Coturnix japonica: one gene and its partner. The protein of the gene in region 1 purifies or fractionates together with the protein of each later gene. This does not show direct contact. Links are inferred from orthologs where the notes say so. Each region holds a gene or a part of one and is shown on either strand. Other genes may lie near its edges. The genes, in order: EIF3M and EIF3B.

Evidence for each region.
Region 2: the proteins of EIF3M (region 1) and EIF3B purify together in Homo sapiens (affinity purification with mass spectrometry; 8 studies listed by BioGRID and IntAct, counting the BioPlex papers as one, with this or other methods). This does not show direct contact. The link is inferred for Coturnix japonica from reciprocal best matches to the Homo sapiens genes EIF3M and EIF3B.

The regions. Positions count from the first base shown.
Region 1 is NC_029520.1:4,350,820-4,354,757, forward strand, and holds the end of EIF3M (eukaryotic translation initiation factor 3 subunit M), read right to left. Parts: exon of another isoform or gene 2,000-3,938; coding exon 1,856-1,999; exon of another isoform or gene 1,382-1,855; coding exon 1,321-1,381; exon of another isoform or gene 902-1,320; coding exon 781-901; 3' UTR 633-780; downstream 1-632. Other genes in the region: CCDC73 (coiled-coil domain-containing protein 73), read left to right, coding at 1-45. UniProt on the Homo sapiens protein: Component of the eukaryotic translation initiation factor 3 (eIF-3) complex, which is required for several steps in the initiation of protein synthesis.
Region 2 is NC_029529.1:3,192,603-3,196,426, reverse strand, and holds part of EIF3B (eukaryotic translation initiation factor 3 subunit B), read right to left. Parts: intron 3,520-3,824; coding exon 3,362-3,519; intron 2,512-3,361; coding exon 2,380-2,511; intron 2,289-2,379; coding exon 2,222-2,288; intron 1,689-2,221; coding exon 1,642-1,688; intron 941-1,641; coding exon 730-940; intron 134-729; coding exon 61-133; intron 1-60.

The DNA of each region.
Region 1 (3,938 bases):
AGACTTTGTTCATCAAGAAAAAGGAAACATGAAGACCAGCAGTAAGAAGCAGCAGTAGGAGGTGACAGTTAAACATGGTGGATAAACCACTTCTGTAAGACAAGCTGGTAGAGGTATTCCTATATAGTGTATATTCATGTACTTTCACGTTTTAACTTGTTATGAATTTGGCCTGAAGTTAAAAGTTCACAAGTGAAATGTTTTAATAAACCTGTAAGTAATATTAAATCACTCCCCAGAACTTCTAATTGAAATAGTTCAGTTTGGGTTGACAGACTGCTCTGTTTTTGAACACTGCTGTAACTGTTTCAAAGTATAATTGTTCTTTAGACTCACGCCACTTAGGGTTGCTGTAGTAGATTATGTCTAAATACTGCCTCTTTCCTCACTAAAACAAGGGGTATGACTCACTTACCAAGTTTCATTCCTGGTTCACATTTCTCCTCCTTCAGGATAATAGTAACCTCTCACTTCAGTTACTTACACTGTTACTTTCCTCATCTACCTCCCTTCCACCCCACACCTCTTGTCAAAGAGCAATCTTCATATGAGAAAACTTAATAAACAACAACAAAAGAAACAAGGTATTGCTACTGTTACTTATTTCTAATTATATAAGAAAATCAACGAGAGATTTTCCCACATTTTATTGCTTTTCTGTTGCAATTTAGAATGCTGTCTCCTTTAAACCAATTGTACACATTTTGGAAACATTCACAAATGGTCAAAGGTTTTGAATATAATGTATCTATAGCGGGACATTTCCAGGTTATACTTTCTTTAGGTGTCTGAGAGACTGAGGAGACTGTTTTTGACTTGATTCAAATTTTGTTTCCAGGTGTTTAGAGTATCGTACAATTGCTGCCACTGCTGCTTTCCGAAAGTCCGATGTGTGCTGTGACTAGAGAAGTAAAACAAAATCAGATGATTACTAGATGTAATACTCACCTAACTATTCTTTTACAGCATCACTTCAATCTCACACACGAGCAGGGAAGTTTTTATTTTCTGTAAAATGCTGCACTTCACCAGTTACAGAAGTCTGCAGCCTTCCCAAATATTTAAAGCAACAATAGTCATTAGTATTCTTGTCACTATTAGGTCATTAAATGAAATGTGCTGGAAAATAGGACTCTTTCATTACATAAGCTAATCACATTCAGTCTGAGCTTTAATAAAATTATGATAAATAGCAACTACTTAACTACCACCAAGTGATAGGAACAATACCTCGACTCTAGTTAAAATATTCTACACCTGTAAGTGAAATAATTAGAACACACTAAGTCCTACAAAATGCTATGAAGAATTAAGTCTTACCTGACAACTACTTTCCTCTGTGTCTGATCTATTTTGCAGTACACCATCTTTGTCTTTACGGCTGCAAAAAAGAAATGCTGTTTTAAGCCCTATTTTCAAGACAAGGTGATGTTACATTGCTTAAGCCTCCTAAAATGTTTTTGCTGAGAGTTTTAACCATCTAATAGGCAGAAATCCAAAATGATGTTGTAAGATGGACGTATCTTCTTCTTATTGATGCCAAACTAAATTATTAAAGAAACGTGTAATAATAATAATAAATACCCCTACAAATTAATAGCTTTAATGGCAGGAAACAAAACCAGGTGACAAATTAAACCTGCAGATGATTTATTATGCAGAATTACTTGAAATATATTTCCCATGTCTGAGAAAGCAATTCTTTCAATGTCAGCTGTACATTCAAGCACAGAAGTTTTACAGATACATCTATACTGGAATAGAATAAAACATTTCAATATTTAATATTAACTCAGAAGATTATATAAGGTATAGTTAATTAGCATTGTATAAAGTACTTTGTTACAGTTCTTACCATCAATAACAAATGCTTCTACATCATCAGCTCCAATCTGAAGTTCCTGTTGCATTGTGTCAAATGATATTTCTTTATTCTCTACAGCCATACCCATAAAAGTAAGTAGCCTCATTTTTGCCATATTCTGTTCATGCAACAAGCCTGTGTGAAAAGTATTGACAGTTTATGGATATTAATTCAATAATATCTAATTTGCTTTTCATGGTTTTTACTATATATCCTTGCAGTAATTTAGAATTTCACATAATGAAAACACCCTATCTGGCTTTATCAATGTTTTTTGAGGTAATATTTATTTCTGCATCCTCCTCGTGTTCTGCTAAAAACACCTGGTTTAGTTATTAATTCATCATGAAAATGAACATCCAAAAAGAGGAGAGTGGAGATTTTTTGAACCACTAAGGACATCATCTTTACAGAACTCGGGTGGTAAGAGCACAAGTGATGTTTTTAGTTGGATCAACAGGAAACAGAGCCATGCAATGCAAGAAAAATAACTGGTGATGTCAAAGCCTTCCTCCAGCCTCACTGCTCATTCTCAGGTAGGTGCTTAAAAAAACTGTAATGGTTCTGCAGCAAGTGTTCTTCAAGTACATGTAAAGAGATGCTAAGATGTGTCAGATCTTTTGCAGGGTAGCATGAATGGCAACACAAAGAACTGAACTTTGAGCTTGGCACATGGAAATCTGAGTTCTCACTCCTGTAAAAGTGCAGGCGAACAGAGCTGCACCTGGATAAGCCAAAGCCTTTCTTTATCAAGTTCTCCAGGGCACCAACTAAGCTTCACTGGAAGTTCCTTTAAGATGAATGGCAATCATTTGGTTTCGGAATGACATTATAAGCATCCACATGGCTTCAGTAAATATTTAAGTTTGGAATTTATAACATCCATACTCCAATAGGAAAGCACATTAGCAGAGGACATCATGTTGTGTTAATTAGCTGTAATTATGATGCAGGCTCCCTATTTGGCACCAATTCAACAAAAATGTGATCACTATAACTCATATGGATGAGAAGCATCAGAAAATATACCTAACCAAGTTTAATGGAAATCTACAAGCATCAAAAAATCAATTAGCGTACATTAACCCTAATTAACAAATGCAAATGAGATGCTGATTAACTTTCTGAAAAAGGCTGCTGATGATACCAGATTAAATGTGGCCATGTTAGGGCGATTCAGTTGACACAGATAATGCTACTGCTGGCCCAAGTTGTCAGCATTAATAAAACAACAAATTGTAACAAACTGATGCCACCTGTAGGAGCCTTCATTGCACATCTTTCTTGGACTAATTGTAATTGGTTCTGATCCAAGTAAAGCTAATAGTATTTTAGATCTGTTGCAAAATCAACAACATCCTTTTTTATTTTGAAGCTCAATACTTGAGAAAATGTTGAGGAAGAGAATGATTAAAAACACTTGTTTTGGGGAAGAGATCCAGGTGTTTCAGAGAATTGTTGAATGCCTCCTCTAACAATCATACTGTTTTCTATACTGATCTGCCTTTTTTCTTTTTTAAGGCATAGGTGAAAGACGTAGAACAAGTTCCAAGCATTCCAGTTTGAACTACTTCAGAATCTCTACCTCCTTCATAGCTGAAAGACAATCAAAACTCTCTGAGTGTGCCATAAAGGTGAGAAATCAAGGTAAGGGGAAGGTTGTTTTACAAAACAGCTATACATATACTTAAGGATTTTACTAGTATAACCTGAATACCAGACTTATTGAAAAGATGTAGACCTTGTATTCATGGAATTAAACACAGACACAGGAAGGCAAAGAAAAATAAATCGTGATTATTGTATGACGTACAGATATAACTGTGTTTTCATCAAATACTTCCATGGGTAAGTACTGAACAGATAAACCATTTCAACACATAAAAGTAATTTCTATATATATATATGTATATATATAAAAAAACAACCCCTCTCCTCTTAGAAAGTATGAAACATCCTTATAGTTAATGTTCAGATAAAAAGACAAAAGATAACACTATCCTATACACACAGTTACAAACTACTGAAAACTTACTGATTTTTATCTTAAAAACCCCAAAAACTATCATTTTAG
Region 2 (3,824 bases), on another chromosome or scaffold:
CCACATGTACCAAAAGCAAAGGCCAGCTTGAACAGTTAAATATCAGAACGTTGGAATTACCTTTCATTTCCACCACATCCACAGGCACCTGTTTCTCTCTCATTCGGAATATTTCAAAGTTGGTCACTACTCCCTGCAAAGGCCAACATCAGCTCATTAATCAATACAGAAGCAGCAGACCAAACAATTTGTTGTTTTTTAAATCAGCAGGCATAGAAGGATGGCTATGAAATTGGCCCAAGGGAACTCAGGATGACAGTCAAGGCTCAAGATTTGTTTCTTTAATAAACAGACAAACAGTGCTCATTACCAAGCACACCATTAATCTTTTTGTTCTGTTAAAGAATAACAGAAGGATTAGATATGGTATTTTTTTTCAGACTTAAATTTAGCTGAAGAAGATAGAACATATGGTACATTCTGCAGCACAGCCTATGGTTCCAACAACTGATTTTACAGAGAGCGGGGAAAGAGACCTAGCACTCATTTTAAAAAATATATATGAATTAACTCCACTACATCAGTAAATTGAAAGCAAATGCTGGATGCAAACATGACACACATTTGGCTCTCTACACGCCTCAAACTCAGCAGTCAAAGCTGCCTTCATTTTTCCATTGTACAATTTACACTGACTGGGTTGAAAGACAATATTGAAGGGGAAAAAAAATTATGAAGTATGAGCATGAAAGGAACCAAGTTTTATGAACACAATCACAGTCTACACACCTGTGTGCCTTTGGGAGTCCTGTCTACCTTCACACACAGGTAATCACCATTCTTCTGCCAGTGTAGTTTACAATCTACAACGTTGAACAAATTCCGCACACGGATTTCTTGTCTGGCAGGCAGTTGCATTAAGGTCACTCTTGCTGGGATGTCTTTGTCCTCAGGCACCCAGAAAGCAATTATGTTACCACCCGGAGACCACGAGAAATCTCTACAGGAATGAAGTTAGATGAAATCTATTTTAATTTTTAGTTAGAGATACTACAAGCAGAAACTACTTTCAGCGTTCTGAGAACTGCAGACAAATATCAACTCTCAGTAAAAAGGTGTATACAGAGCAGCAACTGAAGAGTTTCTAACCTTACACATAACATGTTTTTAATTGCCCTTCAAACCTGCTACATCATTGTTACCAAAACAGTAAGATTCACTAAAGATAATTTCCTTCTGTGAAATTATAGAGAAGACAATCCTCCTGCACCTGAGCATGCTGAATTATATAACTGTCTTCCAAAAGGCACCTCAAAAAACTCACAGGACTTAGCATTTACTGTGCAGGTATGCACAAAACCAAACTAGTTCCTTGCCAACAGACAGCATGCAGCACACCAGTCTTAAAAGGTATTACACAAACTGCATTCCAGTTTGGTTTGGTAGATGAAGAACCAGGATGCCAAGTTGGATACCAGACTACATATTACCACAAAGAAGATTTCTGGGTACAGATTGAAGTACACAGCTAACAGCTGAAGTGGAAAGCTTTTTGCTCTTTTTTTTGGCCAGTTTGTCTGATTTGCCCACTTCAGCATGAGGCTACTTGCTCTAGTCAGTATAAAGATTCACTTCACTATTTAGAAGACCTGGACATAAAGACAAAACAGAGCAGTTACTTGTAGAAAGGGATATACTCACCTTATCCCATTGATTTTCAGGCTTTTTTTGTCCAACAATCCCATGGACTAAAAGAAGAGAAAGTTATCAACTTTCAAGTAACATTCTTGCACATACAATAAGAGCAGAAGGCTTATGTGTAAGAGAATAAACCAGGAAACTGTGGACAGTGTTGAGAGATCCTTTATCCCTTATAATAACAATTACATATAACACAACAACCAATAAGACTAATTCTGTGCAATGATTGTTTTAATGAATAGCAGCTTATACTATAATAAAAACATAAAACAGACTCTGCTATGGTTTATTATGTCCTTCGGGTATTCTGGCACACATCCATCACTAATACCTGAATGGTATCACATAACAATGATACTGTTAACTGCTATATTGAGATCTCCAGGCTTTCTAGAAGCACAGTAAGAACGCTGCTGTCAGGCTCAGCTAGTTTTTGATCTAGGAATAATAAATAAATAAAGAACAAATGGATTTCTTCCATTTTAAGCTCTAGAGTGCATTATTAAAACATTCCTTAGAAAACATAAATGCAGACATTGTTCAGCAATAAACACTGCACAGAAACAAAACAACAACTTACAGGTGTTTCATAAATGCTGAGGGTATCTGAAGTCATTCGAGCAAAGAATTTACCATCATGACTCCATCTAAGAAAAAAAAGAGGATAAGCTAAAGAGTTGCCTGTTCATTAAACAAAGTCTTGGGCTGCTCGCTCTCTAATGCTGCTTTGCAACCTACTTAAAAATAGGCCAGTGAGCTGAGTTTTCACAGTGGAATCCTCGTTTCTTTTGCCCAGTCAAAATATCCCAGATGATAATAGCCTGTGGGTCATCCTGCGTGTCCATCAAAGGGCTGAAGGTCACCAAATATCTATAAAGGAAATAATCAATTTTACTACTAAAATTTGATTCAGTACATGAGTACAAGCAGGCTTTCATCTAAATACTATTCAAATACGATGCACTTTTAAACAGCACTTCCTCCAACAGGATGTTCTAGAGGTGAGGAAAAAGCTTCCAAGGCACAGTAGTTCCTAACATCCCTTCCACTGAAAAGCCTCTAGATTTACAAGAGTTTTCTTGTACTGATCTTACAAGGGAAAATTCCCCAGTCACGTTGTTACCTACTATGTAGTTTTGTGACCAGAACATCACTGACTTCAAATCAAATACAAACTCATAACCTGTGCCAACCTGAACTACAAGTATGCCAGACATCCCCATTTAAAGATAAATAATCTCTTTCAAGTATGAAGAACAAAATGTCACTGCTTCCAAGTATCTTACTCGAAAACTAGTAAGATGCATCTCAGTCCTAGAATGACTTAGGAATGATTCCCTAAAGAACTCAAGTATTAATTCCAATATTACAGATGTAGAAGATGCTCCTCAGCTAAATTTTTCCACAGAGACAGAAGTCTAATACTACAGACATCCCATCTGATCAAGGAGAAAAAAAAGTACCATTCCCTCAGATAATAACGACTACTACAAAATTGAACTGGCAGGCTTCGTTGAACAGGAACTCCAGATTACATTAAGTATATTCCCTGAAGTCAAAGCAAAGTTTGACAGAGTTTCCCTTATTCTGAAAAGGATCTAAGTATGAAAAACAAAGACAGAGAAGAACTAAAGACCTGAGTTACATAAGATTTGTAAACACAGCAGGCAGAACACACACGCTTCACATTTTTACCCCAAACCAACATCATACTCCATACCTTTCACAGGGTGAGAAGTCAATAAGCTGCACTCCCTGGTGACTAAACCTTTGAATCTGCTTGAACTTCTCTCCACCCCAAAGTGCGATGCCCCTCTGGTGGAATGTAGCCAGATAGGTACCCTTTGGGGACCAACGTACGTAGGTTTCTGTCCACCGCTGGAATTAATAAAAACAAAAAAATATAGATATAAAGCCATTGAACTTCATGCTCAATAACTAAAGGGAAAGGACTCCACATGTGGTTAGTAAGCTCATATTTCACAAACCCACTTGCTCAGTGAAGATTTGAGTGATGTTAAACCATTTTAGAGCTAAGTTTCACACACAATTTACACTACTCATTCTTCAGTTGAGATTGTTTAGTCTTACTGATCTCCAAAAGTATTACCCAAGGACAGTAACAACCATGGTTGAGTAATGATTACAACAACCCAGCAACTTAGGATTATTTCTTGGATTGC